Regions from separate parts of the Mus musculus genome. Here all the other regions are reported to be linked to region 3. Evidence: microRNA targets listed by miRTarBase, many of them from high-throughput screens and not tested one by one. Region 3 holds a microRNA gene; each other region holds the end of a gene's coding sequence.

The links. The annotated mature microRNA mmu-miR-669i reads UGCAUAUACACACAUGCAUAC and lies in region 3 at 5,272-5,292, shown strand. An mRNA with a match to its seed (bases 2 to 7 or 8) in the 3' UTR can be bound and repressed. Matches are read on the target gene's strand: a 7mer-m8 pairs with bases 2 to 8, a 7mer-A1 pairs with bases 2 to 7 and ends in A, and an 8mer does both.
Region 1: the mRNA of Tnfrsf10b is a reported target of mmu-miR-669i. Seed matches in the 3' UTR shown: 7mer-m8 at 6,066-6,072 and 7mer-A1 at 5,949-5,955.
Region 2: miRTarBase lists Ccdc82 as a target of mmu-miR-669i. Seed matches in the 3' UTR shown: 7mer-m8 at 2,021-2,027 and 8mer at 4,440-4,447.

What each region holds. Positions count from the first base shown.
Region 1 is chr14:69,778,870-69,789,935 of GRCm38, reverse strand. Tnfrsf10b (tumor necrosis factor receptor superfamily, member 10b) reads right to left here. Exons shown (of 8, transcript NM_020275.4): 7 at 9,363-9,432; 8 at 5,525-7,704. The coding sequence ends at 7,370. It overlaps Rhobtb2 (Rho-related BTB domain containing 2), which reads left to right. Exons shown (of 10, transcript NM_153514.5): 8 at 1,216-1,304; 9 at 1,973-2,078; 10 at 2,201-4,946. The coding sequence ends at 2,421. Among named protein-coding and RNA genes, the nearest start is that of Tnfrsf10b, 17 kb to the right of the region's middle.
Region 2 is chr9:13,287,524-13,296,102 of GRCm38, forward strand. It overlaps Ccdc82 (coiled-coil domain containing 82), which reads left to right. Exons shown (of 9, transcript NM_025534.3): 9 at 1,824-4,830. The coding sequence ends at 1,886. Among named protein-coding and RNA genes, the nearest start is that of Maml2, 6.1 kb to the right of the region's middle.
Region 3 is chr2:10,512,400-10,523,465 of GRCm38, forward strand. It overlaps Mir669i (microRNA 669i), which reads left to right and starts at 5,205; the gene lies at 5,205-5,331. All of the region lies in intron 10 of Sfmbt2 (Scm-like with four mbt domains 2), which reads left to right. It overlaps Mir297a-4 (microRNA 297a-4), which reads left to right and starts at 4,668; the gene lies at 4,668-4,765. Mir669h (microRNA 669h) reads left to right here and starts at 5,756; the gene lies at 5,756-5,880. It also overlaps Mir669m-1, Mir669m-2, Mir466n, Mir669o, Mir466g and Mir466h, and 2 more genes.

The DNA of each region.
Region 1 (11,066 bases), not on the chromosome of region 3:
TCTCTCTTTTTTTTCTTTTTTTTTCTTTTTTCTTTTTTCAAGGCAGGGCTTCTCTGTGTAGCCTTCGCTGTCCTGGAACTCACTCTGTAGACCAGTCTGGCCTCCAGCTCAGAAATCTCCTGCCTCTGCCTCCCAAATGCTGAAATTAAAGGCGTGCACCATCATCACCTGGCTCAATGTATTATTATTTTGTTTGGTTGTTGTTTCTAAGACAGAGTCTTATAAAGCCCAGGCTGGCCTCGAACTTGCTTTGTAACTTAAGCTGGCTTTGAACTCCTGATTCTTTTGCTGAATCCTCCAGAGTGCTACGATTGTAAGGCATGCACTACCACAACCAACATTTGTTCTTTTTGAAGTTCAAACACTATACCTTTAGACAAGAGCCGTCTGTTCTTTGCATTGCTCAGGAGTGCTTGGTGTCCTTGCTTTCTAGAAGGAAAATGTCCTAGCGCCACCGTGTTTCAGATCTGGAGTCAGCTGTTTCTCCAAATACTCTGGTTTCTTAGTGGTGATGAACCCAGAGCCCTATACATGCTGCTGGAAGTCCTGGTTTCTTACAGTGGAAACGACAATGGGAATGCTCACTAGTCTTGTGATACTCTCCTTTCCTGGTCTTTCCTGACGGAGGAGCTGGAAAAACACACCCATCTTTCTAAGGATGAAATACCTCATGGGTTCATTCTGATACTTCTATTTAAATTCGGGGCCAAAGGAATTTATTCTTCATATAAATGTTTGAATGTAAACTGGAAGATTTATACACCATCTGCTAATACATTTTAAATTAATTTGAATAAGTAGGTTTAACCCACAGTTCTCTGTCAGAGTTCTCAGGCTGTCTTCATTTTCAACAAACATGAGGTTTCAGACTGTCTTCCGTCAGTGGCTAATTGTACTGAGGGCTGTGATCCTCTGTGTAGCAGGTTGTACAGTGGGACGTGTGTAGTTTGAAAAAAGAAAAAAACCCTTAGCTAGCTCAACAGCCCTTTTCCATTTCCCATTCCTGCCCCACCGAGGCCTTACCCTCATCCCTTTTTCCCCTCTAATAGGAACAAACCTAAAGTCTCCTTTGGTCTTTCTGGCTTTCTGTTGGGACTTAGCCCTGGCCTGATCAGTTTGAACTCCTTCTATAGCAATCCCCACTGTGGTACATAAGCACTGTAGGTCCTTTGTCATGTTCCATCAGCTGATTGTTGCTGTATGTGTGTGTCACAGAGCAGTACACAGTGACTGGACTGATGGAGGCGACCCAGATGATGGTGGACATCGATGGGGATGTCCTTGTATTCTTGGAATTGGCACAGGTACTGTGGCAAGGGAAGGAAGTGACAAGTCTTGACTCCAGACCCTGCTCGTAGACAGAGTGTAGGGCTCTGGGAGGTGATGGGTCGGCAGAGTGTACAGCCCTGGTCGACATCTGCAAAGAGAGCTAGCCATGACAGACAGAGGGACCGAGACCGTAGGTCATTAGAGGGAACACCAGGATAGGGCTTGAATCATATAGGGGGTACTGAGATTAACTGCCTCTGTAGTGCCTCTGAAGTTAACTGCCTGCTTCCTTATTACCAAGCAAAGGAGTCCTGGTGGCAGGAATTGGGCCTTTGAGGGTGGCTGGTGCCAGGTTTTCTAAGCTCGGTTGCCCCCTTCTTGGTGCAGACTGTTTTGTTTGCGGATGGGAGGAGAAGGGGATCCTGGTTGGGTAAGAGCTGAGAAGAGCGGGTACCAGAGGAGGGCATGTGGGACACGAACATTAGTGGTACACATGCTTGAGGCAATTGTGGGGTTGATAATAGGACCCAGGAGCTCACATCAATCATTGTCTTGCCCAGTTCTGGCAACGGACAGGATGCTTGTGAGGGTTGGGCCCCTTATGATTGCAGAGTATCTACGGGCACTGCCCAGAGCTGCTGCTCCGTAGGCCTCTATGTGGAGTCTCTGCTCCAGTAGGGATGTGTTTCTGTACCACTCACAGTTCCACTGCGCGTACCAGTTGGCCGACTGGTGTCTTCACCATATCTGCACCAACTACAACAACGTGTGCCGCAAGTTCCCCAGAGACATGAAGGCTATGTCTCCAGGTGAGTCTCTGTGTCAACCCCACAAGTTTCTGTGACAGGGCTAACCCAAAGCATGGGCAGGGTAGGCTTAGCGCTGCCCTGAAAATACCTCCTAACTTCGCACCCCTGGCATTGTTGTCTAGAAAACCAGGAGTACTTTGAGAAACACCGGTGGCCGCCAGTCTGGTACCTGAAAGAAGAGGACCACTATCAGCGTGCGCGGAAGGAGCGAGAGAAAGAGGACTATTTACACCTGCGGAGGCAGCCCAAGCGGCGGTGGCTGTTTTGGAACAGTCCCTCATCACCGTCCTCCTCAGCAGCGGGCTCAGCATCCCCCTCCTCCTCCTCCTCGGCTGTGGTCTGAGATGCTGCCACCGTCTTCTGATCCCGCTGCTGTTGTCCTCATTAGCCCTTGTCCTTCTGCTCTTCTGTATCATCCCCTCTACCCGACAGGTGACGAGGGAATTCACCTAACCAGAATCCTAAGGGCAGAGCCGTTCTCACCAGCCAATGTGGCCCAGGCTAAGAGGAGCCAGCCCTGCAGATCAGAACAGGGTCCACCTACAATTCCAGGCAGGGCAGGAAAACATCTGCCCCAAGGTGGGGAGCAGGAGAGAGCTCAGAGCTCGGATATTTTCTCTCTGGACTTGACAATAGAGCCAGTGGAGGAAAGCTTCCCCTGTACTCGGGCTTGTCTGTATTGGTGTCTGCTTTGGTCAGAGGCAGCTTCCTCTCCAGGAGCTGGTCTTTTTTTTTTTCCCATCCACAGACTTTTGAGGGTTGCAAGTATTTCGTGAGCATTGTCCCTCGGGCTTATTGAAATCCTTGAGAAGTTAAGGTAGAAAAGAAGTCTTCAGAGCCCACATCAAGTCTCCTAGGCCGTGAGGTGTGGCTGCTGGCGGGGAGAAGAATAAACTGCAGCCTGCCAGCATCCTGTAAGGACTGACTGCAGGCAGTGTAGACTTAGTGGTGGGTAGCAGCGGTGACTCCGTGTTCAGGTTTGTAGGCAGCACTTTAGTACAATGTGGGTTCTCTACTTCACCCTTCCCGCACACATTACATCTGACATGGATGAAGGAGGAGGAAGAGGAGGAGGAAGGGTGGGTTCTGTGCTCAGCAGTTTTATGCTCCTCTGGGGTTTCTCCCCCTGCCTCTGGGCAGCACTGCCTTTTATGAGATGGGAGCAAAAACAGCCTAACAGGAGAAACCCAAACTCAAAAGCACCACCAAGACCATGTTATCCTTCATCTCCCCAAAAGAATGAAGTTCTAAAAAGAGAGACCCTGTAGGGTGTACATCTTCATAAGGCTGAATGGAGGCCTCTATTATTATGTGGCTATGAAGGGTCAGTAGTACCAACCACTCCAATGCCTTTCAGGGGAGGACCTGTACCCTCCGTTTCTGAGGATGCCACTCCCCAAGGCCTGCTGGGTCTAGGCTACTGGGTTTCGGGGAAAGTGTGGGCTTCGGGGCTCAAATGGCTTTGTACCTTTTCCACCTTGATGCAGGATACTTTTCTCTTCCAAAGGTGACTCTACGGGATGTGCGTGGGGCAATGTGCTTCCTGGGGCGGGGGGAGGCTTTCAGCAGGAATTAAATGTCAAAAAAGGGAGCACTGGAGAACAGGCTACACATAGCCAACCTGGTACTGGCTGGGGATAAGGGGAAGGAGAAAACAGGGGTAGCTGAGCAGGAAGGAAATGATGCGAGTCTAAAGAGGAATTGGGGAGACTGGAGGATTGACAACAGTGGCTGGAAGCCCCCGTGGGATTGACACTGGGTCTCAGTTGACCCTTCCCATTTCCTAATTACGATCCACATATCACCACCTTTACCCTCTCTCTAGACTTACGAGGTGAAGTCCCATGAGGGAGTAGGTCATGAAAGTTCTGGGGTCCCCTTCCCTGAGAAAATGCTTTAGGTAAGGAAATACTGGCTGAGTCCCCAGGACCTAGCTAGGTTGCTTAAGCTGGAATTAAAGCAACCCCAGAAACAAATGCAACCTACAATTGTGTGGTACCGGGACCTCGAGTTCTGATCTGGTCTTGTCAGAAGGAACAAGTAGTAGCAGGTCTCACAGTGCTGATTTTCTGTAGTCTGAGCCTGGAACCGCCAAGCCTGCTGCTGCCTAGTAGTTAAAAGCCCTCCAGAGTTGCTGGCTGGGGAAGTGTGTTGTGTGCTGCCCTCTACTAGCTGGTGTGCCCTGCTGCTGAATTCTAAATGGCTTCTAGTGTGGAGAAGCCTGCACTCATGGAAAAGGCAGGCAGCTTCTCACACCTTCCTTGGACGATACAGGGGTATCTCTCTCGGGAACTGTAAATGATAGGTAGATGTCTGTCCTAATGAGCAAGGGGAATTGGGTCTCCCAAGTGATTTACAGGGCTGAGCCGCCTGGCATCACTGGTAATGAGGATGGACAGGCTAGTAGGAGAAAGATCTGTGGAGGTGGAGGAAGACCAAGGAGAACACCATGCCCCACCCAGGCCAGTTCACCCCTCAGGGACCCACCCCTACCCCCACAGCTGTCAGAGCTGGTGTGCAGCAGGTGGACCCCTGTGGCCTTGTATACCCACAGTGGGGGGTGGGGCTGTGAGTGAGCCAGGAGAGGGAGGTGCTGCTTGCAGTCCCTTAGTACATGGGTGCTCTGGATTCCAGGGAGACAAAAGCAGGAGAAACTCCAGTGTGGGACAAGTCTGGCATAACACCCCCAGGGGTGGGGCAGTGTCCCAAGAACATGCTCCTCTGGACTATGTCACATGTCACTCAGTGTTGTCTTAGAGGATGGGGGTAAAAACACAAACCCACAACCCCTCTCCACACACCTTTTTATATAAGGTTTCATATTTAATTTGGTCATGAATTCATAATACATGAGTATTTTGTATCTAATGACAAGTCTTGTACTGTTTTATATTACCAACACACTTCTAAGAGGCATAAGGAAGGGCATCAAGTGAGAGGGTGAAACACCTGCTCTTGGGGCTGGGTACAGAGCCCAGCAAACCCTGATGTGCAATCCTGATGTCAGCCTGGACTTGCACTCAAGATACCATAACCAACACTGGCAAGGATAATGCTCAGAAGTGGGAGTCTTCCTCCTGAAGCCCCATGAACGCCACAGCAACTTGGACTACAGAATGACTGGGACCAGCCATCTCTAGGCAACTGTCCTGCTGTGTGCCGAGCATCTACTGGAGAAGCCATAATGAGGCCTTATGCTCGATCGTTCAGCAGTTTGGAGCACCTGCGCTTGCTCTTGTACCTGGCCTCAGCTTCAAGCACCCACATGCTGGATCACAACCATCTGCCACTCCAGTACAAGGGGACCAGATGCCCGTCTGACCTGCAGACCTCCAAAGGCACCAGGCATGCATATCATGCACATAACCATGTAGGCAAAACATTCATACACAGCAAAAATTAAAAAATGAAAATAACGAAATAGATGAGGGCCACGTACACTGCTCTCTTTTTTAAAAAGATTTATTTATTTTGTGTATGTAATTACACTGCCACTGGCTTCAAACACACTAGAAAAGGACATCAGATCCCATTAGAGAAGGTTGTGAGCCACTATGTAGCTGCTGGGAATTGGAACTCAGGACCTCTGGAAGAGCAGCCACTGCTCTTAACCGCTGAGCTACCTCTCCAGCATGCTAGTTTAAAACAAAACAAAACAAAACTGGACCCTGATATAGCTGTCTCGTATGAGGCTATGCCAGTGCCTGGCAAATACAGAAGTGGATGCTCACAGTCATCTATTGGATAGAACACAGGGCCCCTAGTGGAGGAGCTAGAGAAAGTACCCAAGGAGCTGAAGGGGTCGGCAACCCTATAGGTGGAACAACAATATGAACTAACCAGTACCCCCCCAGAGCTCGTGTCTCTAGCTGCATATGTATCAGAAGATGGCCTAGTCGGCCATCAGTGGAAAGAGACGCCCCTTGGTCTTGCAAACGTTATATGCCCCAGTACAGGGGAACACCAGGGCCAAGAAGTGGGAGTGAGGCATATAAAGTCAGGTGGGGAGTGGGTGGGGGAGCATGTGGGGGACTTTTGGGATAGCATTGGAAATTTAAATGAAATAAATACCTAATTAAAAAAAAAAAAAAAAGGCCGGGCATGGTGGCACACACCTTTAATCCCAGCACTTGGGAGGCAGAGGCAGGTGAATTTCTGAGTTCGAGGCCAGCCTGGTCTACAGAGTGAGTTCCAGGACAGCCAGGGCTACACAGAGAAACCCTGTCTCAAAAAAAAAAAAAAAAGTGGGAGTGAGTGAGTGGGTAGGGGAGCAGGGCGGGGGGCAGGGGGGGGGAGGGCATAGGGGACTTTTGGGATAGCATTTGAAATGTGAATGAAGAAAATAAATAATAAAAAATTAAAAACAAACAAAAAACAATAGGAATTCACACAGGACAAAAATCTGTATGTGGCAGCTTTCTAGAAATCCCTATCACAGTATCTAAAGGTAGTTATTTCTCCTTCTGGATCCGGTGCAGCATACCTATGATTCCAGCTCTAGAAAGGCTGAGGCAGGACAATGGTGAGTTTCAGTGTTTACTCTCACAATGGTCAAATGCTTACAGGGGGCGTGGTCCTCAAGGGTCACCCCAGGTAGCACTTAATGCTCCCTCTGTGTCCAAACCAGCAAACTCACTTCAAGTGTGTTAGATTCAAGTTAGATGTACCCTCAGTAGGCTGCCCACTAGCACCTGGCACAGGGAGGTGCCGTGCAGCTGTGTAGTGCTGAGCAGTAGTCTAACAGTAAACAGCAGTGGCTGTGTTCACAAGGAGTTTCCACCCTAGGGCTGTTTTATTCTTCCCTCTGTTACAGAGGTGGTCTTTTGTCTCTGGACAAGGGTCTTAGTAATGAATATCGCTAGAATCTGGGACAGGAGACCACAGAGTCAGCTCTCAGCAAGTTTAGCCATCCTGCACATTATATGGGATCTTATGTGAACCAGCTGGCCTCGAACTCTTGATCTTCCTGGCTCCATCACCGGAGTGTTAGGATGATAGGCAGGCCCTATCATACCCTACCAATTGTGCCTTGTTCAGGAACAAAGGTAATCCGGGATGCTGGAGGTGTGTTAGAACACTTGTAGCATATGTGTTCTCAGAGGTTCTGTGTTCAACTTCTAATAAGAGAACATAGTACTTAACAGTAATAATATAAATAATACAATAATATGATACACTAACTACTACAAGAAAAAATTAAGTACATTCTCATAATACTGAAGAGCCTGCATCTTCGGGGCTCTCTACATAGCCTTGGCTGTCCTGAGTTCACTAAGTAGATCAGGCTGACTTCAAACGCACTGAGATCCTCCTGGCCCTGTCTCTGGTTGGGCTGCAGCGTTCTGATAAGTAAACCTCCCGGATTTCACTGCGTAGTCTTCAATTTTCTCCATGGCATCTCTCTCTTCCACGGCTTCCAAGGCATCCAGCAGATGGTTGATGGAGGCACTTCGCCCAGTCTGGTGGCGCCACTTGAGCAGCATTTGGTACAGGGCCTCACGTGTGACCAGTGTTTCGGCTTTGACCATTTGGATTTGATTGTCTGTGAGGCCCAACTGCCGCATGAGACGGTTCCAGGAGTCAAAGGGCACTATGTCCGAACAATACTCGAAGATAAACTTCAGGTCTGGGTGTCAGAAAACATGGGGGACAGGTAAGCTACAAGCCACTTCATACAGGGTCAAGAATCCTAAGTCAGATGGAGAAGCCCAGGGGAGGACCTGACACACTCCCTTGCACTCTGTGAACCTGGCTGTTGAAGCCTCCACACCCGAAGCCAACCAAGAATCTGGGTGCTGGAGAAATGGCTCAGTTGAATACAGGGGACTCGGGTTCAATTGCCAGCACCCATGGTTCACAACCATCTGTAACTGTAGTACCAGGAAATCTGACACTATCGTCTGGCCTTCGCAAGGTACCAGGCATGCACGTGGTGCACAGACATATGTGCAGGCAAAACACCCATATATACAAAGTAACATTTTAATGAAAGTTTTTAAATATATACCTTTAAAAAACTCCTGTAAGGGCTGGTGAGATGGCTCAGTGGGTAAGAACACCCGACTGCTCTTCCAACGGTCCAGAGTTCAAATCCCAGCAACCACATGGTGGCTCACAACCATCCGTAACGAGATCTGACTCCCTCTTCTGGAGTGTCTGAAGACAGCTACAATGTACTTACATATAATAGATAAATAAATCTTTTAAAAAAAAAAAAAAAACTCCTGTAATGCAAGACGGCCCAGTGGGAGATGTTGCTTTGTGTGTCTGTGTGTGTTTGTGTGTCTGTGTGTGTGTAAGGGCATGTGGCATGAACCACAGAGGGGCGTAGGAGGTGAGTGTACAGTATCTCAAGGCTGTACTCATGAGGTATAGGGCAAGGCTATCCTCATCTGCAGAAACAGCAGAGCAGAGAGCGAAGGACCTTCCATACCAGCTGGCCTCCCTCACGGCTGCCTCACTGCCACTGGATGCAGGAAAACAAACGACTGAAAACCTGAACCTGTATCTAAGTCATGAAAGCTCATGTATGGGGTTATGGTGACATAGATGAGACAGGTACGAAATGTGTCACCTTCCATCCGGAGGAACCGAAAGAGCCGGGATACAAGTCCCATGAGCCCCGGGAGTCACATGGCTTATTTAGCCAGTAAAAGGAAGGCTCAAATAGTGCCCAGCATACTCAGAATCCTGGGTTCTGTCCCAAGCAGTACAGTGCTGAGTATGGGGGTGGGAGAGAGAGCCCGGTGGTTAAAAGCACACGCTGCTCTTGCAGAAGACCTAAGTTCTGTTCCCAGAACCTGTGCAAAACTAACTTACGAACAAACTAAGTATGAAAGAAAACAAGTGCCATTTGGTTCAACTCAGTACTCATGCAGTCGGTATCTGAACCGTTATTCATGAGATGGCTTCCATTCATTTTGCATGGAGTCTCTGAAATCGGAGTTGTGGCTTATAGTGCACAGCTCATGGAACTAGGTCTGGCCAGGGCAGGAGCTTCTAGTCAAAGGCCAGTGGGTATTAACACAGGCCAATGCACCATTCTGGAGGCCCTGGCGAAGGTGGGGACTACAGAGTAGAAAGGAAGGAAATGGAAGAGTGAAAGGACAGAAAGATTCTATCAATAACAATATGAGGTTCTGGGGAGTGCCCTAGGGATAACACTGTAGGCTTTGCACCCATCTTTAGTTGTCTTGGCAGAGCCTATCTGCCACGGGGATGAAAATTGGAATGCCTCTCCCATCCCTTGGGCTTCTGTGCTATTGTCTTAGACAAAGCACTCACCGTCAGCTGAGTCGTTTCCGTTTACCGGAACCAGCAACTTCTTTCCTGTTTTCTGAGTCTTGCCAGGTTCCTGTACGCAAAGAGCAGAGTCGCGCTCGTCAGAGTCAGGAGACCTGGGCCCAGGCCTGATTCTGATTAGAAGACTTAGTTTACAGCACTGTCCCTCTAAGGCCTCAGTGGAGACACAGATTAAGTTCCCTCCACAGTTGCTTGATGGCTCGTGAATGCTGGTGGCATAAATCTTCAAACTCAAGTGTTCTGCGACAATCGTACACTTGCATAAGCCTCCATCAAGACCGAATGTTCCCTGTACTCCAGGGGTTCCCTTCAGCACCACCCCCTCCCAACCCCCAAGGCTTCTTACAAGACTCAGTTGAAGACTACAGAGAACAGTTTTTGCAAAATCCAAGGTCAAGATTTGCTTCAGGGCTTTCATGGTGTTTTGATCGGTTACAGCAACTCACACATCAACAGTCTAAATACGAGACCAAATAGACCAAAACACCAATAGTGTCAGGGCTGGGAAGGTTTCTGGTACAACTGAATATGAAATTTGACAGTTTGAAAGGTTTTAAATTTATGTATATGTGTGTCGTGTGCATATGAGAGGGAGCTGTGGAGACCAGGCAAGATTGCCAGGGCCCCTGGAGCTGGAGTTACCGGCAGTAGTGAGAGCTACCCAGCCCAAGGCTGAGAATTGAACCTGGGTTCTCTGGAAGAGCAGCAAATATTTTTGCTCTCTGAGCCTTCTCTCCAGCCCCTAAATTTGACTTCTAAAAAATAACTTGGAGCCAAAGGATATTAATCCCAAAGATGAGAGGAGAAAGACCACTGACCTAAATCATCATGGTCAAATTAAATTAAAGCAAGTTGTTTTTTTTTTAATTAGATACAAGGATTGTCGCCCCCCCCCCATCCCTCCCTGCCCCCGCCCATGAGGTTCAAAAGGTCAGCATTACATGTGAGGACGACAAAGATTTATAGAACTTAGGTGTAGGGGCTTTCCACATGGGGGATTTGGCCAGCAAAATAGGTGGGGTTACCAGAGCCTAACATTAAACATAGCAAGTTAGTCCTAAACAATTCCTGAATCAAAGACATGGTTGCAAGGGGGCTTGCTATTTAAATGGAACAAAAGGACCACACAGTGACCAGGAGAGATATCACATTGTTCTCCATCTAAAATCCATCCATGATGCAGAAATATGCAAAAATGAATTCAGTGGGGAAAAATACCTCCCCAAGCAGTCAGAGGTGCATCTTACATCAGGGGAGGCTTTCAGGAGCCTATGAGTGACGGAAAGTCAATGCATCTGCTGATTTTAACCGTTACAAACAAACTTTACCGGGGGCTGGAGGGATGGCTCAGAGGTTAAGAGCACCGGCTGCTCTTCCAGAGGTCCTGAGTTCAATTCCCAGCAACCACATGGTGTGTGCACCAAACAGCACTTCTGTAACCTTAACCCAGAAATTGTAGTTCATGGAATCCCCCTTACAAATGTGATCAGGAAACTAGGCAAACAGTGAAAAGGGAAAACTGGTTGGGCAGATGGCACAGACCTGTAATGCCAGCTACTCTGAAGACTGAGGCAGAAGGGCAGAAGCTGGAGGCCAGCCTGGGTAACAGAGTGAGACACTGTCACAATCAAACGTTTTTAAAAGTTAGTGAGGGGCCTGGAGAGATGGCTCAGAGGTTAAGAGCAC
Region 2 (8,579 bases), not on the chromosome of region 3:
GAGAGTGATCTTCCTTAGTAATGTAAGGCCCAGACCCCAAAGGCTCTGATGAGCTATAAGAATTGAGTCTTCAGGCAGAGGAGATGGCAGAGTGATCCTAATGACCTTTCCTCTATTTCACTTTCCCTTTCGTGGTTTTCATTTTTTCTCAGAACAGCTGTCACCCCACCCCTGCCATTTAAAACTCAAAACAGCATCCTATAAAGGTTAAAAGCATGCATTTAAATATTTGCCCTGATGCTGACTAACAGTGGAATGTGAAAGCAAGTTACTTGATCTCTCCAAGTCAGTTTGCTCCTCTATAAAATAGGGACTAAACAATACTTAGAGCCTTGATCCTGTGAATCGTGGCATATTTTAGGGCCTGGAATTAGAAAGTGATCAACTCCCATTAGCTAGTATCTGTAATATAAGCAAGCAAAGATTGTTATTTGCTTCTCTCAGTATACTGGTGTACATTTTAATTTTCCAAAACACATTTTATAAACAATCTAGATTAACACATTTAAAGCTAAAATAATAAGCCTAAAACAGCCCATCTTTTAAGGTATAGGTTGCAGATCATAGAGAATTTATTTGCATATACTAAAACCAAGAGAACTCTGAGTGGGCTATGCTAACAGGCATTTTCTGCCTTGTTCTCTTCTTCCTTCTTTCTTGCGGATGTGCTGCAGTCACAGCTCTTGAGGTTATGGAAATGGCCTTCATGGCCTTGCCTAGGATGGAAATACAGTATTCATTCATATTGCCTCCATGAATCCTTGTCATCGCAGAATTCAGGCCATTGAGATCTTCTCTCGGAGTTCATAAACCAGATCAGGAAAGCATTAAATAATTTAATGTCCTCAACTGATATAAATACTTGGACTCTGTGTCTAAATGTGAACTCATGTATCATCGCTGCTCCCTGATCTGCCTCTGAGAGCCCTGCCTGCCATTATTCTTGTACTCCTTCACCTTGAAATTTCCAGGGCACCTTTAATGCATCTCTTAACATACTCCACTTCCATTGCTGCCACACAGGTTTGAGTCCTCATTGCCTAATTTGTCACCACAGATTCAGAGCTCACTGCCAGACAGCTATAGAATAGCCAACCAATTTTCTGAACATGTACTTCAAATAAGATCAGTCCCCTGCTCTCAAATTTTTGACAACATCATAGTGTCTGTCAAATCTTTGCTCAGTTCATAACCTAGTGTATCATAGTTTTTATTCTTCCATCTCAATTTCTTTGGTCCAGTCCTCTCTTTCTCTCAGAAGACATCAGGTTACTACCAAATCCTACGCTCCCTTGGCATGGCTCTGTTGGACGAACTTCTAACTTCCTGGACTGTGTGTGTGTGTGGGGGGGGGCTCACTTTGCCACTGATGTTGCCTATCAAATATTTTTGTCTAAAACACCTGAAATATCACTTTTTCCAGGTCACCTCAGCTGGCCATGGTTTCTCTTTTGACCCTTATAGCAGTGCTGCTGGTTGCTGTGAGTGTCTCAGGGACAGGGAATTGTCTTAAACATTCTGCCTTCACCAGTCAATAGTAGGAAACTAGTTACATAAATACACATCTGTTCCACAAATATCTGTTGGATTAACTATTGAATTATACGTATGCTGTAATCTCCAATTATAACTTCTAAGGGGAATGAAATTAATAATGCTACTATTTGATTTCTTTCCAACGCTTTGTGAGTTACAAATGCTTCTATTTATAATTAAGTGATTTTTATTCCCAATTACCATAGGATATGTGTTTCAGTAGTTATAAAGGTCTATCTTATTTGCTGTTGTGACTAAAATAACTATTTTTTCTGTTGTATATGCAGAAATATGATCAACTGCAGAACTTTCTCAATTCTGCGGATTATTTTCAAGATGAGAAGTTTTAATTATAGCATGCTTCCTTCATGAAGAGAAGATTTTATAAATTTCTGTAAATGCGAAGACCATGAGTTTTATTTTTCTGTGTTATGTATCATTGGTTTTATATTCTATGTATGTCTTTGTGGGAAAATATCTTATTTATATGCTCATCTAATTTTCATAAAATGCCAAAGTGAAGCCTAATAACAGTTTCATAGATTTACATGGAGAACATTAGCTTTGTGGTTCAGAAGTCCCTCAGTGTATTATAGTCACGTGGTGATGCTTTTCTCACACGTGACCAGCAGTTGAATGTGCTATCATGTCCTGTCAGTTTAGTAGAAACAGGCTGTGTTACGATATATTTGGGCTGACCTGAGGATGGCTCAGTCAATATAGTACTTGTCTTACGAACATAAAGACCTGAGTTCAGTCCCCTGTACTGGCTAGTTTTGTGTCAACTTGACACAGCTGGAGTTACCACAGAGAAAGGAGCTTCAGTTGAGGAAATGCCTCCATAAGATCCAACTGTAAGGCATTTTCTCAATTAGTGATCAAGTGGGGAAAGCCCCTTGTGGGTGGGACCATCTCTGGGCTGGTAGTCTTGGGTTCTATAAGAGAGCAGGCTGAGCAAGCCAGGTGAGGCAAGCCAGTAAAGAACATCCCTCCATGGCCTTTGTATCAGCTCCTGTTTCCTGACCTGCTTGAGTTCCAGTCCTGACTTCCTTTGGTGATGAACAGCAGTATGGAAGTGTAAGCCGAATAAACCCTTTCCTCCCCAACTGCTTCTTGGTCATGATGTTTGTGCAGGAATAGAAACCCTGACTAAGACAAATTGGTACCAGCAGAGTGGGGTATTCCTGTGACAACCTGACCATGTTTTGGGGAGGACTGTGGAAAGACTTTGGAACTTTGGGCTTGAAGATCCATCCGTTGTTAAGAGCTCTGTCGGATGTTGTGTAAGAACTTGGAAGATAATGTTGAGAACACTGCAAAAGATGGAGGTCTGGTTTGTGAAATTTCAGAGGGGAAAAATTAAAGACTCTTTTCAGGGCCATTGCTGTTTTGATTGTGAAGGTTCTGTAGTTCTGGTTAGCTGGGGCTGAAGAATCAGCTGTGATTAACAAGATACCAGAACTACCAAAGCAAAAACTTTGCATTACTGGGACTATTGATGCTGGTTAGCTGGAGCTAAGAAATTAGCGGTGATTAAGAAGAGACCAGCATCATTGAGGTGACATCTTCTGGGAAGTGTTTTCTGAAAGCACAAAGAGGCTGTGTTCCAGAGATGGCCAAGGTTGTACTCCTGATGCAGCAGGACTTGGTAATATGTAAGGGTCACCCAGGTGGTACTGGTTTTGAAGGCATGAAGGGGTCACGCAAAGCAGCTGAGGCTTGGCACTGTGAGAGGCCATTGGTGAAGGTGCAGCCTCAGTTGCAATTGAAGGCCCAGGACTGAAGGGGTCATGCAGTGTTTTGGAGATGCCAGTACCATGAGATGACCACCAAGAGCATCAGCAGCAGTGGAGTACAGGCATCTGGAGCCTAGAGGATGACGCATGTGCTACAAAAGGGCATGGCGTGGAGAAGTGACCCAAGCCCTTGGAGGAGCCCAGAAGATCGTGAGTTGGATCCCAGACAGTGGACGGTTGGAGATTGACTTTTGCTTTTGATTGTGACTGTGCCCTGATATTTTCCCTCTTGAAGGAAGAAACTGTTTTAGTGGAGCCCACAGTTAAGAGACTTTTAATTGTAAAAAGACTTTGGATTTTAAAAGAGATGGATATTTTTAAGAGATTGAAATTTTAAGAATATGTAAAGACTGTGGGATGTTTAAAGTTATTTAGATCTTGGGGATGAATAAGATTGTAAGGGTTGAGGCTTACTAGTGATGTTTTTGTGTGTCAAGTTGACAAGGGGTCAATTGTACTGGCTAGTTTTGTGTCAACTTGACACAGCTGGAGTTATCACAGAGAAAGGAGCTTCAGTTGAGGAAATGTCTCCATGAGATCCAACTGTAAGGCATTTTCTCAATTAGTGATCAAGGGGGAAAGGCCCCTTGTGGGTGGGACCATTTCTGGGCTGGTAGTCTTGGTTCTATAAGAGAGCAGGCTGAGCAAGCCAGGGGAAGCAAGCCAGTAAAGAACATCCCTCCATGGCCTCTGCATCAGCTCCTGCTTCCTGACCTGCTTGAATTCCAGTCCTGACTTCCTTTGTCAATATGGAAGTGTAAGCCGAATAAACCCTTTCCTCCCCATCTGCTTCTTGGTCATGATGTTTGTGCAGGAATAGAAACCCTGACTAAGACAGTCCCCCAAACCATATTTAAAATAGAGCCAGGCATGATGGAATGTACTTGTAATCCCCACGCTGGGAGGCAAAGATGAGGCAGATCCCTGAGGGTGTTGGCCAGGCACCCAGCCTACTCATCAGTGAGAGACCCTGTCTCAAAAAACAAGAATATGTGGTGCTTGTAAGTGACACCAAGGCTATCCTCTGAGCTCAGCATGCACGCAGACACAAATAGTCATGTGCCCACACATTTGAACAACCACACCTGAACCTTCACATCCACAGTATATATGCATGTGTATATACTTACATAGTGAGACTTATACCTATATGTATGTATGTGTTCTTGTACCCCTTGGCAATATTAAGTAATCTTCAGTAATAAATGTCTAGTTAATGTTTCCTCAATCAGTGAGTCATGGAAGTAGCTTCAGGCCTCCATGCATTCAGTATCCTAGCCTCAGAGTGAGACCATAGCTCATCTATTCCAGGTTGAGAAATGTTTCCTTCTGCTAAAGTTTCCCTGATAAATAGATGAATCGGCTCAGGGTCTTTCAATTCTCATGTTCAGGGAGAACTTCTTAATATATATATTTTAATTGTGTATAATGTTCTTTCTTGTTTCTGTACAATTTTATGTGTAGTATATTAAAGATTATGATATGATTTTCACCATAACTTTCTCTTTCTCTGTGTGTGTGTGTATGTGTATATATGTTCTAGTCTGAAGATCTCACAGGCAAGTTCAGCCAAAGATATTTTGAAGGCTTAGTTTTGTGCCTCCATTACTTTGCACATCCTAACTTTTCCATAGTGCAATAAAGTAAAATGGTTTCAGAGTCTAAGTGTGTATTCTGTATCTTTAATTCTTAAATATGAGGCCTGTTTTTCTGTGACATTTTAGTTTTTTATTATTTTTTTAGAAAGTGGTGGTTGAATTTAGCTGGCTTCATGTATTGTGTGACTCATGACATGTGTCTCCATGCATACATGAATGACATAAGACTGTGTTTTATCAAGTCCTTACATGAAGATAAGTTTGTAGTTTTCTGCGGTACATTTCTATAATTATTCCTATTGGTCTTTCAAGCTAGGGAGACAGAGAGAGAGAGAGAGAGAGAGAGAGAGAGAGAGAGAGAGAGAAGGAAGGAAGACAGCAAGGATGATGGAAGCAGACATTTCTGTCACATGTCTACTGCTGTTCAAAGTTCCTTGGCAGATGGAGCACCACTCCCTAACTCACTTCTAGAAAAGAAAAATGAAGCCAGGTCCAAAAGGTAAAGATGAAAGGGGCCAGTATCTGTGGGAAGCAAAGCAGAATCCAAGAGTACTAATGGGGTATGGGAAGATGTGAGGATCGAGGGTAACTTGTGGGAAGGAAGGCAGAGGAAAAAGGAAGACAAGGACCCCTAAAGCACGTCAGGTGGCCCGCAAGAAAGAATTCTTTCATGAGCAGTTGGTGTGTTAACTGAATTTCCCAACTTGTCTGCTCTCATGTTCAGGTATTGTGTGCCCATCACTCATTCTTTCCATAGGATTGGACCTACTTAGACTCCAGAATGGGCACTGGGCAGTGGTGCATCCCTTGAGTTAGGCCTGCTTGTAGTGCCCATCACAACATTAAAGCAGCAACCCCTGTGCCTAAGAGAACCTGGGTCTGGAGAGTCCTGGTCTCATCCTTCCTAATTATATAATGTTTTAAAAAGTCATCTTTAAAAGTCCAAATGGGGAATTGGATAAAGCTAATATGCATTTCCAGGAATGTCTGAGTATTGATGGGGATGATATATGTGAAGTGCTGGCCTTTAGGTAGTGATTTTTAAAGTAAATAATAAAAAAAAATGATGTGCATGAGCTGAATGATATCAGTGATAATGGCAACCAGAAATTAAATGGCTGGTATGCATATAGGTAAATGTGCATAAAAAGAGACTGGAGAGATGGCTCAGCAATTAAGAGCACTTGCTGGTCCTGCAGAGGACCTAGGTTCAGTTCCCAGCACCCATGTGATAGCTCACAACCATCTGTAATTCCAGTTCTAGGGGACCCAACACTCTCTTCTGGACTAAGCCATCAAACACTGCACGTATGTGCACATATATACAGGAGTGAAGCCCCAAGGGCCAGCAAATGAATGGAAATATGTAACCTCGGGAGGTAGGAGGCAGTGGGGGAGAATCTCAAGACTCAAAGGGAGGGACCTTAGCTGAAATGCCCAACAGTGGGAAACTTGTAGAATCCACCTCCAGTAGAAAGAAAGAGCATCAAGTGAAAGGATCAGGTTGCCATCCCACAGTCAAAAACTTTGACCCAGAATTGTACCTATCTAAAGAACTGCAAGGACAAAACTGGAGAAGAGCCTGAGGGAAAGGAGGTCCAGTGACAGGCCCAAATTGGAATCTATCTCAAGGAGATGCTCCAACTCCTGACTCTATTACTGATGCTATGATGTAGTTACAGATAGGAGCCTAGCATGGCTGCCCTCTGAGAGGCCCAACAAGCAGCTGACTTGAGACAGAGCAGATACTTAAACCCAACCACTGGTCTGAAGTCGGGAATCCCCTGTGGTTGAATTAAGGAAAGGCTGGAAGAAGTTGAAGAGGAGGGTGACCCCATAGGAAGACCAGCAGTCTCAACAAACCTGGACCCCCGAGATCTCTCAGACACTGAGCCACCAACCAGGCAGCATACACTAGCTGGTCTGAGGCCCCAGACACATACCTACATGTACAGAGGAGGACTGCCTGGTCTGGACTCAATGGGAGAAGATGCACCTAACCCTAGAGAGACTTGAGGCCCCAGGGAATGGGGAGGCCTAGTAGGGTGTGGGAACATCCTCTTGGAGATGGGGGAGGAGGAATGGGATGAGGAACAGTCAAAGAGCAGAATGAGAGGGGGATAACTACTAGACTAAAAATAGATTAAAGGTAATAATATATACATATGTATATATTTTAATTCATACAAAAGACACTCAAGATTCTAGAGTCCAGGAAACTGTCTTATATACTGGAATGTAGTAGGGAAGCCTGTCTGTTGAAATCTTGCTTCACAAGCTTTTATTTATGCTCCTGTCAAAATTACAAAGTGGTAGAGGTTGAAGAGATAACCCAGCAGTTAAAAGCACTTGCAATGTGAGCTTATTACCTGAATCTAACCCCTGAAGCCCAGGTAAAAGTAGAAGGCTAGAACCTAACTCCACAGTGCTGTCCTCAGGTCACATACACAACTGCACTCAGATATCTTAAAAGAAAACACACACACACACACACACACACACTAGAGTTTATTCCACAGTGTATACATTAATTGAAACAATAGGCCATACCCTAAAACCCTGAACAATTTTATGTCAATTAAATTTTATTTCAATTTAGCAAATTTATTATTCTAGTTTATAATTTATATTCCTAGGAGTAAGAGTAGTTTGTTTGACCAAGTCCTCAACACTGTTAAGACCTGTATTGTCGCAGGCTATTGAGTGAGCACTGTTTTACATTTAAATACTGCAGAGTTGTCTTTTACTGGTTATGGTTGCTAAATATGACAGAAGTAGAAGTTAGTAGAAGTTGCTGCCTACTGAACACTGCTTTCAAAAATGAAATATACGATAGTCAAAAAGCCTTCACTTTTGAATAATTCCTGATGACTCTGTTTCTATTTTTCTTCTCTAACAAATATGGCTCCTTTCTCCACGTGAATGGAGAGGAACTTGGCCTTGAAGAACACAGAGAGAAGGATGTTTCAGAAAAAAAAGGCTAATGTTGTACAGACTGGAGTAGTTGATTCAAAAACAATCCGAGATATTGCAGAATGGAATTATTTAAACAGAGCTAACATGATAGATTAGGGGAAATTTGGGATTAAAGATATTCAACTGGTTAAATCTAAGTCAATAACCCCAAATCCAAAACCCCTGAAATCTGAAATACTTTGAATTCCAAGCATTTTGGATGAGACAAACCCTGTCCTGTCTGAGTGTGCCTGTCTCCATTTCCAACTTAACATCCTGGGGCTTGTGAAAGTGGGCTAAAGTTGGCCAGCCCCCGGGAGATGGAACTGTGGATGAATCCAGGCTTGAGATACATTATTTTTATTTGCTTCTACCCATAGTTCACGTTTGAAGCAGGATCATACTGCTGAAATTCTAGAGTCGCTTAAGTAAATGAAGCTTTGTGTCTGGAAACGTCAGATCCAAATGACTTATAAACTACAGCACTTGAGTTTTTGGTGGTTCTGGCTTCTAATACTATGCCCATCTTAATTTATTCCCTGTAATCGATAAGTACACACTGATTTGTCCAATCTACTTGAGTATTTTACAAGCCACACTATATGAAGATAAGAAATCAAAACCTTTTTTTTTTTGTTGTTATGAATGTTCTTGAAATCATGTGGCATATTATATTTGCCAAGCAGACAGCTAC
Region 3 (11,066 bases):
TGTAAAAGATTGACAAAGTCAGGAGGATAAAGATTTCAAATTCATGCTTAATTCAGTTAGAGATCATCCTGGTATTCATGTGATGCCACCCATGTATGTGCATGTGTGTTTACTTGTATGTGCATGTGCATGTGTTGACATGAATATACATAACATAAACACATGTGTATATGCAAGCACACACACACACACACAGAGAAAAAATTGCATTCATTTATATGTTTGAAAGATATGTGACTTAGAGCTTTAGCAATTATGTAGTACTTGGCCAATGAAACTTCTTACTTACCAGTAAAATGTTTTTCATATTCAGATGGATCAGGAGTTCAAATTCATGAGTAACTTCAAAATGGTGTACAGATCAGCCTGGCTTCATGGGATCCTCCCCAATGTATGTGCATGTGTGTATAGTTTTGTGTGCATGTGCATGTGTGTATATGAATAGACATATACATCCACACAAACATATACAAGCAAGCACAGATACACACACAGGAATGGCACTCATCGATCCATTTGAATGATAGGTGACTTAGAGTTTTAGAGACTGCAGTAGTGGGACAGTGAATGGTCTCAGTCACCAGCTGTAAATGATTGACAAAGTCTGGAGAATCAGGATTTCAAATTCATGATTAACTTCAGTTAGAGATTATCCTGGTATTCCTGTGATGCCACCCATGTATGTGCATGTGTGTTTACATGTGTGTGCGTGTACATCTGTGTAAATGAATATATATATATATATATATATATACATATATATATATATATATATATATATATATATATATATATAACATAAACATACATGTATATGGACACACGTATGCACACATACACACAAGGAATGGAATTCATTGATATGTTTGAATGATATGTGATTTTGAGCTTTAAAGGTTATGTAGTACTGGTCAAATGAAAGTTTTTCTCACTATGTAAAAGCTTGCCATATTCAGAGGGGTCAGGAATTCATATTCATAAATAAATTCAAAAGAGAGTAGAGATCAGCCTGATTTTATGGGGTTCCCCACAATATATTTGCATGTGTGTATAGTTTTGTGTGCATGTGCATGTGTGTATATGAATATACATATACATCCACACAAACATATACAAGCATGCACAGATATACACACACACAGAAATGGCACCCATAGATCATTTTGAGTGACATGTGACATGTGACATGTGAGTTTTAGAGAGTATGCCGTGCTGGGCCAATGAATGCTCTCACTCACAAGGTAAAGACCCTTGCCAGATTCAGGATGATCAAGAGTGTAAATTCATGTTGGTTGCATGATGAGTTGGAGATCAGCCTGGCATTCATGTGATGGCTCCTGTGTATGTGCATGTGTGTTTGTGTGTGCGTACATGTACATGTGTGTATATGAATATGCATATACATGAGAGCATACATAGACACACGTGCATGTGCGCTTGCATGCGCGTGCGTGCACACACACACACACACACACAGAGGATATGTGATTTACAGTCTTATAGATTATGTAGTAGTGGGTAATGAATGGTCGCACTCATCATGTGTAAACAATTTGCAGATTCAAGAAGATCAGGAGTTCAAATTCATGCTTAACTTCAGCTGGACATCATCCTGGTATTCATGTGATGCCACCCGTGTATGTGCATGTGTGTTTACAGGTGTGTGCATGTGAATGTATATATATGAGTATACATGTACAGACACATGCAGCACACACACACACACGAATGCCACTCATTGATCCATTTGAATGATATGTCACTTAGCATATTAGAGATTATGCAGTACTTGGCCAGTGAGTGCTCTCATTCTCTAGGTGAAAATCCTTGCTAGAGTTAAGAGTATCCCGAGTTCAAATTCATACTTATCCTCATGAGAGATCAGCCTGTGATTCCTCCATGCATGTGCATGTGTGTATAGTTGTGTGTGCATGTTTATGTGTGTATTTGAATATACATAACATACACACACACGTATAAACACAAGCACACACACACAGACACAAGAATGACACTCATCAATCCATTTGAATGATAACTGACTTAAGAGTTTTAGAGATTATGCAATAGGGGACAGTGAATGGTTTCACTCACCAGGTGTAAATGATTGACAGAGTCAGGTTAATCAGGATTTCAAATTCATGCTTAACTTCAGTTATAGATCATTCATGTGATGCCACCCATTTATGTCGATGTGTGTTTTCGTGTGTGTGCATGTGGATGTATGTATATGATTTTGCATATACAGACACATGCACACACATGCGGCACACACACACACACACAAATGACACTCATCGATCCATTTGAATGATATGTCACTTAGAGTTTTAGAGATTATGCAGTTCTGGGACAGTGCGTGATCTCACTCTCCAGGTCAAAATGTATGCTGGAATCAGGAGTTTTAGGAGTTCAAATTCATGCTTAACTTCATGATGATTTTAAGATCAGCCTGTGATTCATGTGATTCTCAGCCATGTATGTCCATGTGTGTATATTTGTGTGTGCATGTGCTTGTGTGTATGTGAATATATATATCATACGCACGCACACACACACACAAATGCAAGCACATACACTCTCACACACAGAGGAATTGAATTCATCCATTAATTTGAATGCTATGTGACTTATTCTTTTAGAGATTATGCAGTAGTGGGACAGTGAACGGTCTCACTCGCCATGTGCAAACATATTACAGATTGAGCAGGGTCGGGAGTTCAAATTCATGCTTAACTTCAGCTGGACATCATCCTGGTATTCATGTGATGCCACCCGTGTATGTGCATGTGTGTTTACGTCCCTGTGTATGCACATGTGTGTATATAAATATACATACCATAAACATACATGTAAATGCAAGCACACAAACATGGAATGGCATTCATTGATACATTTGAATGATGTGTGACATAGAGCTTTAAAGATTATGTAGTATTGGGCTAATGAAACTTTTTACTCACAATGTGAAAAAGCTTCCCATATTCAGAAGGATTAGGAGTTCAAATTTATGAATAACTTCAAAATGGCTTAGAGATCAGCCTGGCTTTATGGGTTCCTTCCCAGTGTATGTTCATGTTGCATAGTTTTGTGTGCTAATGTATGTGTGCATATGAATATACATATAAATACACACAAACACATACACACAGGCACACACACACACACACACACACACACACACACATACACACACACACACACACACACACACACATACCCCGAATGGCACTCATTGATACTTTTAAATGACATGTGACTTAAAGTTTTAGAGATTATGCAGGGCTGGATCAGTGGGTGCTCTCACTCACAAGGTGAAAATGCTTGCCAGAGTCAGGAGGATCAGGAGTGGAAATTCATTCTCAAATTCATGAGTCCAGGATCAGCTTCGGATTCTAGTGATGCCCCCAGTGTATGTGCCTGTGTGTATATGTATGTGTGCATGTGCATGTGTGTATATGAATATACATATACATACACACATACCCATACAAACATGCACACAAACACACAGAAAATTGACACTCATCGATCCATTTCAATGATATGTGAGTCTTAGAGATTCTGTATGACTGGGCCACAGAGAGGTCTCACTCACCAGGTGACGCCCCTTGCCAGAGCCAGGATGATCAGGAGTGCAAATTCATGTTCACTGCATGATGAGGTAGAGATCAACCTGGCATTCATGTGATGACCCCTATGTATGTGCATGTGTGTTTGTGTGTACATGTACATGTATATATATATTGATATACATATAAATACATGCACACATATTCATGCATGCACACGCACACATTAATGGCACTCTTAGATCCATTTGAATAACATGTGACTTAGAGGTGAGAGATTATGCAGTACGGGGACAGTGAGTGTTCTCACTCATCAGGTGTAGACAACTGCCAGAGTCAGGTCTATCAGGAGCTTAAATGCATGCTTACACTCATGAGGACTTAGAGATCAGCCTGTGATTTATGTGATTCCCCCCATGCATGTGAACGTGTGTATAGTTGTGTGTGCATGTGTGTATATGAATATATATAACATCCACACATGTATAAATGCAAGCACAGAAACACACAAACATAGGAATGGTACTCATCGATCCATTTGAATGATATATGACTTAGAGTTTTAGAGATTATGCAGTAGAGGGACAGTGAATGGTCTCAATCACCAGGTGTAAATGATTGACAAAGTCAGGAGGATCAGGAGTTCAAACTCCATTTAGAGATCATCCTGGTATTCATTTGATGCCACCCATGTATGTGCACGTGTGCTTACATGTGTGTGCATGTTCATGAATGTATATGGATATGCATGTGCAGACACACACACACATGCAACACACACACAAACACATGGTGACTTGCATTCATCTACTTGCATAATATGTGACTAAGAGTTTTAAAGATTATGCAGTACTGTGCCCGTGCATGCTCTTACTCAACAGGTCAAAGTGCTTGCCAGAGTCAGGCCTTAAAGGTATGTGACTTAGAGTTTGAGAGATTATGCAGGGCTGGATCAGTGGGTGCTCTCACTCACAAGGTGAAAATGCTTGCCAGAGTCAGGAGGATCAGGAGTGGAAATTCATTCTCAAATTCATGATTAGGTAGGGATCAGCTTCAGATTCATGTGATGGCGCCCCCCCCCCCCAGTGTATGTGCCTGTGTGTATATGTATGTGTGCATGTGCATGTGTGTATATGAGTATACATATACATACACACATACCCATACAAGCATGCACACAAATACACGCAAAATCGCCACTCATGGATCCATTTGAATGATATGTGACTTAGTCTTAGAGGTTCTGTATGACTGGGCCAGTGCGTGATCTCACTCACCGGGTGAATAATCCTTCCAGAGTCAGGAGGATCAGGAATTCGAATTCATGCTTAACTTCATAATGAGTTAGAGATCAGATGCGATTCGTGTGATGCCCACCAAAAATGTGCATGGGTGTATAGTTGTGTGCATATTCATTTCTCTATATGAATATGCATATACACGCAAGCACACACAGGAATGGCACTCATATATCCTTTTGAATGGTATGTGACTTAGAGCTTTAGAGTTTATCCAGTAACGGACCAGAGCTATGTCTCAGTTAGGAGGTGAGTATTCTTGCCAGAGTCAGGAGGATCAGGAGGTCTAATTTATGTTTAACTTCCTGATGAGTTAGAGATCATCCTGGCATTCATGTGATGCCCACCAATAATGTGCATGTGTGTATAGTTGTGTGCATATTCATTTCTCTATATGACTATGCATATACACACATGCATACAAACTCACATACAGGAATGACAGTCATATATCCTTTTGAATGATATGTGACTCAGAGCTTTAGAGCTTATGCAGTACTGGGCCAGAGCTATGCCTCAGTTAGGAGGTGGATACTCTTTCCAGAGTCAGGAGGATACGGAGTTCAAATTCATGTTTAACTTCATGATGAGTTAGAGATCAGCCTGGAATTCATTTGATTGTCCTTGTGTATGTGTATATATGTGTAGGTAAGTGTGCTTGTACATGCATGTATATGAACATACACACACACATACATATACACATAAGAATGGCAGTCATAGATCTGTTTGATTTATATGTGCTTAGAGTTTTATAGAGTGTATAATTATGGGTCAGTGTTACATCTAACTCACCAGGTGAAAACCACTTGCCAGAGTTAGAAGGATCAGGAATTTAAATTCATGCTTAACTTCCTGATAAGTTTGTGATCATCCTGGCATTCATGTGATGCCCACCAAAAATATGCATGGGTGTATAGTTGAGTGCATATTCATTTCTCTATATGAATATGCATATACACACATGCACACACACACACACTCACACACAGGAATGACACTCGTTTATCCTTTTGAATGGTATGTGACTCAGAGCTTTAGAGCTTATGCAGTACTGGGCCAGAGCTATGTCTCAGTTAGGAGGTGAATACTCTTGCCAGCGTCAGGAGGTCCTGGAGTTCAAATTCATGTTTCACTTCATGATGAGTTAGAGATCAGCATGCGATTCATGTGATGCCCTCCCCCATGTATGTGCATGGGTTCATACTTATGTGTGCATGTAAATGTATGTATATGAATGTTCACATACATATACATAAACACACACACTGGCATTCACCTACACGCACATTAGTGGCTCTGATCGATCTATTTGAATGAGATGTGACTCAGAGCTTTAGAGCTTATGCAGAACGGATCCAGGGCTAGTTCTCCCTCCAGGTGAAAATGGCTTCTGTGGAAACCTGACAGCCTGAGTTGGATCTCTGGAACTCAGCACACAGGCAGGCTATGGTGTGATTCTTTTGGTTTTTCGTACACCTGATGATTTTCTTTGAGTTTTCAGATTGCAATATATCTTAATTTAAAATTTATCGTTCATCTGGCTCGGGAGACTGGAATACCTCCCTCATTAATAGCTGTCTTCTCTTTCATTCTCTATGAAAAAGGTCACTTTTAATTGAATGGGGTTAAGAGGTAAAGCTGGGTTGCTCTTAATATTGAAAACATTTCTGGTCGTTAAAAACTAAGAATCCTTTTGCTTATTTAATAATTCTTTAAGAATTTTTTTAAAGTGTTGTTTTTCCCTGTCAACACTTGATATTTATATGATATTAGAGTCTATTTTTGGTGATATCTTTGTCTCCTAACATAATTCAAACTAGAATGCTGTGCTTGCTTTTACACAGAGAAGTGCTTTAATTGTTGTACGAAATGTGTCCCAGCCTAATTCTTTTTCTGTAAGAAGCAGCGTTGTGGCTAGTGTTCAGGTCAAATGGACTCTCTGGTTCCTCTGCCCTTGCCTAAGGTTCTGTTGTTTTTCTGCAGTATTCCCTGATCGTAAATAAGAAGAACTCATGGGAATGCATGAATGCCTACTGTTTTAAATGACCTTGGAGCACCCTGAGACATAGGCGAATATTGCACTTCTTCTCACTGCTTTCGTTGGTTTTCCGTTGATTTTTGGGTCTAAAATACCAGCGCCTGGTCCCGTGTTAGGACACCAAAGCAGAGCCCACTTTGCAAGTGTTTTCTCGTCCATTATGGCCGTACTATTAGAAATCTGTTCTCAAGGCTCATTCCTGCTCCGCCATTCTTGCCATCCTTGTTGCTGATGTCTGAACTCACAGCTGAGGGTTTGGACTCAGTGTTTCTTTTCTAGTGGGACCCACTTCTTCTCTCTCCTGAAGAGCTGTGTCTCTTTCCTAGGTTCTGTGATGGTGATGTCTTTGTTTTCTTTTTCTCTTCCTTCCCTTCCCCTCATTTCCTCTCCTCTCCCTCCTTTCCCTTCCCCTCCTCTCTCTTCTCTTGTCCCTTCCTTCCCCTGTTCTCCCTTTCCCTCTTGTCCCCTCCCCTCCCCTGTGTTTCCTTCCCCTCTCCTCCCATCCCTTCCCCTCTGTTTTTTGTCCTTCCCTTTCCTTCTTTCCCTCTTTCACTGTTTAAAAAACATAGATTCTGGAGATGAAACTCAGGTTTTTATGCTTGTCAAGCAAAGCCCTTTACTGACTGAGTCATCTTTCCAGCCAGCTGACTTTTTGACTTTTTTACATTTGTCTCCTCTGTTTTCTGTCGGGAAATCTGAGCGCCATAAAGGGAAGACTTATGTCAGTTTGCTTCACCTCTCTAATGCTTGTATTAGAACTGCCCCACACCCAGCATGCAGAGGGCCGGCTTACTCTTTTCATGGGTGAAGGAACGAGTGTCTAGGATAGAGGTCAGGCACATCCTTGAGGACTGACAGTCTAACAAGGTGGCTTTAACTGTAGTTTATTAAATGTCTCATTCCCAACAGACTTCAGGATCTGAGTGTCTTTCCCGTTGTCTAGCTGGAACATAGCAAGCATGATATCCTTTTGCTACTTTCTTATTATGATGGCACAGCTTGTATAGCTAGGCTACATGGAAGAGGGGATTTTATTGTTATGCTGTCTGCTTTATAAGAGAGTGAAATCCTACCTTAAACTTTGCTGGTAACCCTATTCTAAGGCATAGACAAGGGGCACAGGGCCTCTGAGGTAGCCTTGAGGCTGTCCTGACTCACTTTATATATATGTATATATATATATATATATATATATATATATATATATATATATATATATATGTTTCTTATTAGGTATTTCCCTCATTTACATTTCCAATGCTATCCCAAAAGTCCCCCATACCCTCCCACCCACTCCCACTTTTTGGCCCTGGCGTTCCCCTGTAGTGGAGCATATAAAGTTTGCAAGTCCAATGGACCTCTCTTTCCAGTGATGACCGACTAGGCCATCTTTAGATACATATGCAGCTAGAGTCAAGAGCTCTGGGGTGCTGGTTAGTTCATATTGTTGTTCCACCTATAGGGTTGCAGATCCCTTTAGCTCCTTGGGTACTTTCTCTAGCTCCTCCATTGGGGGCCCTGTGATCCATCTTATAGCTGACTGTGAGCATTCACTTCTGTGTTTGCTAGACAGCTCTATCAGGATCCTTTCAGCAAAATCTTGCTAGTGTATGCAATGGTGTCAGTGTTTGGAAGCTGATTGTGGGACGGATCCCCGGATATGGCAATCACTAGATGGTTCATCCTTTCGCCTGACTCACTTCTATATCAGAATGTGGCCTCACTCATTCTGGATAGAATCTGGACTGGTGAAGCTGAAGGGTGATGGTGTGTGAAGCGTGCGTGTGTGTGATGTGTGTATGCATATGTGTGTGTGTGTGCTGTGTGTGTGTGTGTGTGTGTGTGTGTGGTTTGTTGTATGGTGTGTGTGATGTGTGTGTATGAATGTGTGTTTGTGGTTTATTTGTGTGATGTGGTGTGTGTGTGTGGGTGTGTGTGTGTGTGTGTGTGTGTGTGTGTGTGTGTGGTGGGGGAACATCACTCATGCAAGAGTCACACCTTGTAAAGAACTTTTGCTGACACATAGTCTGACTTTGCATTATACTAGCACAAAGATAACTTTTTGTCACTGAAGTCCTTTTCCAGTTACTAGTGAAAACTTGAAAAAGTACAAAAAAGTTGAAGATATTTGTCACAAGTTCAAAACAATTTCTTTTTTATATTTTTCTCTTCTTTACATCTTTTGCGTAATTCTAGTAATTTCATATGTCTGCAATTAGTCCTTTTAGCTGAAGGACATAGCATTTTTTTTCATAATTTCCCTGCCCCAACCATGCAATATCATGCCTATATGATATCTTAGGGGCTTAGAGGGGGTCTTGAGTCAATCTTGTATCATTTTCTGTTCATGGAGAGTTACTTTTGCCTTCTCCAAGTTTCGTAAAGTTGCTGTACATTTCCCAACATATAACTCATTTTCTCAGTTAGTGGGGTCACTTTTCTGAGATAAATTCCTAGGACTGAAACCATGTCAAAGGGCATAGCTCTTTATACTGTTAAGTTTTTCAAAGGCACTGTCCATTTGCTCAGCCAGACTTAATGGCTGTTTGTTGTCTGTTCATTTGTATCACAAGAAAAATGGGTCACCAACCTCTTCCCTCTTACTTGCATACCCTTTGGAAAGTCGGCATTCAAAGTAAAGAGTCATGAAGACTTAAATGCCTTTAATGGCTGTCATTCACGTAGTCTGGGTAGGTGGCTTCTTAGAAACTGTAATGGCTGGAGGGGGTTTATTTCCTCTTTATTTTTTTTCTCCTCTTTGCTGTTTTCTTTCCTCCCCCTTGGTTTAAAACCTGTTTTCCTGGCTGTGCTTAAGCCTCCGTTCTTCTTGTTCTGCCTCTGTTGACGAATGAGTGTAATTGACCCCTGTTGTCTCTATTATACATTCTGCGGCAATTTGTTTTTTATGTAGTAGTTATTTTCTGAGCTGCCTTAAAACTGCCTTCCAAAAAGAGCTCATTACCAGCTCAAAGGAAAAGAATTTTAAATGACAGAGTGAATAACAGTCCCAAGGAGAAGGGGGAGGACATGTCTAAGCCATTCCAAGTTTCAAGTAAGTGGGTAGTTTTAGGGTCCAGATAATTAATTGCTGCTCAGGTGAAGCCCAGCAAGACTTGATTCTATCTAGGAATTATTAGATTAAAAATAGCTTCCCCGTGGACACTGTTGCCCTCTGGATGTATAGACGGATTATATCCAGGTCCAAGATGACAATTTACAGCCCATTAGAAGTTAGTTTTGGAAAACCTGGCTAAACATCTATGCGCTACAATCAAGGGTGACTTCCAAATAAGAGCATTTTATCTGAACATACATCAGCCACACAGAACACCCAAATACAGTTCACACAATTCTATGGGTATTAGAAAATAGATGCTAGACAGAAGCCAAGGCTGACCTTAGCTGCCTCAGCTTCCACTTGTTTTGAGCTCAAAGGACTTTGTATGTTCATAGAAAAGGTGAAGCCCCACCGGGGGAAAGTAAACAGTGGGGGGGGGGGGTTGTGAATTTTAACACAGAACTGAGGGCAGTGCGAGGAGCAGAGGCTGGTGTGGCAAAGCCCCTGGAAGTGAAGGAAGCAGGCCTGTGAGTGGCTGGCTTTGGTACCTTCCTGCTGAGGGTGCTGAACAGAGAACTGGGAGCCAGGTCTCTTCTTGTGTAAGGCTTTGTTTGGGAGGTGGATAGAAGGTTCTGGGAGGGACTTGAGAAACAAGTGTGCTAAAGGATGGACATTTATAATGTATATTCATCCCGGCAAACATGAGAAACTGTTCGAGGAGATGGGAGCTCCTCTAGACCCTAAATGAGAAAGGTCAAGCTGGGAAGAAAAAGCCCACTGTGTACAGACATCATCTGTGCAGTCACTGATGCACGGGCTTCAGAGAAAAGCGAGGGGAGAGGAGGGGAGGAGAGGGGAGGGGAGGAGAGGAGAGGGAGGAGAGGGGAGGGGAGGGGAGGGGAGGGGAGGGGTCACTTGTTTTGCTTTGCTTGGGAAGGATGAGCAGGCAAAACTACACCTCCTACCAGAAAGGTAGCAGCATCACCCATAACTTCATCTGGTGCCTTCAAGTTCATGTAAATGAAGTCCTTAGATTTCAGAAGCATGCGCACGAACACACACACACACACACACACACACACACACACACTGACACC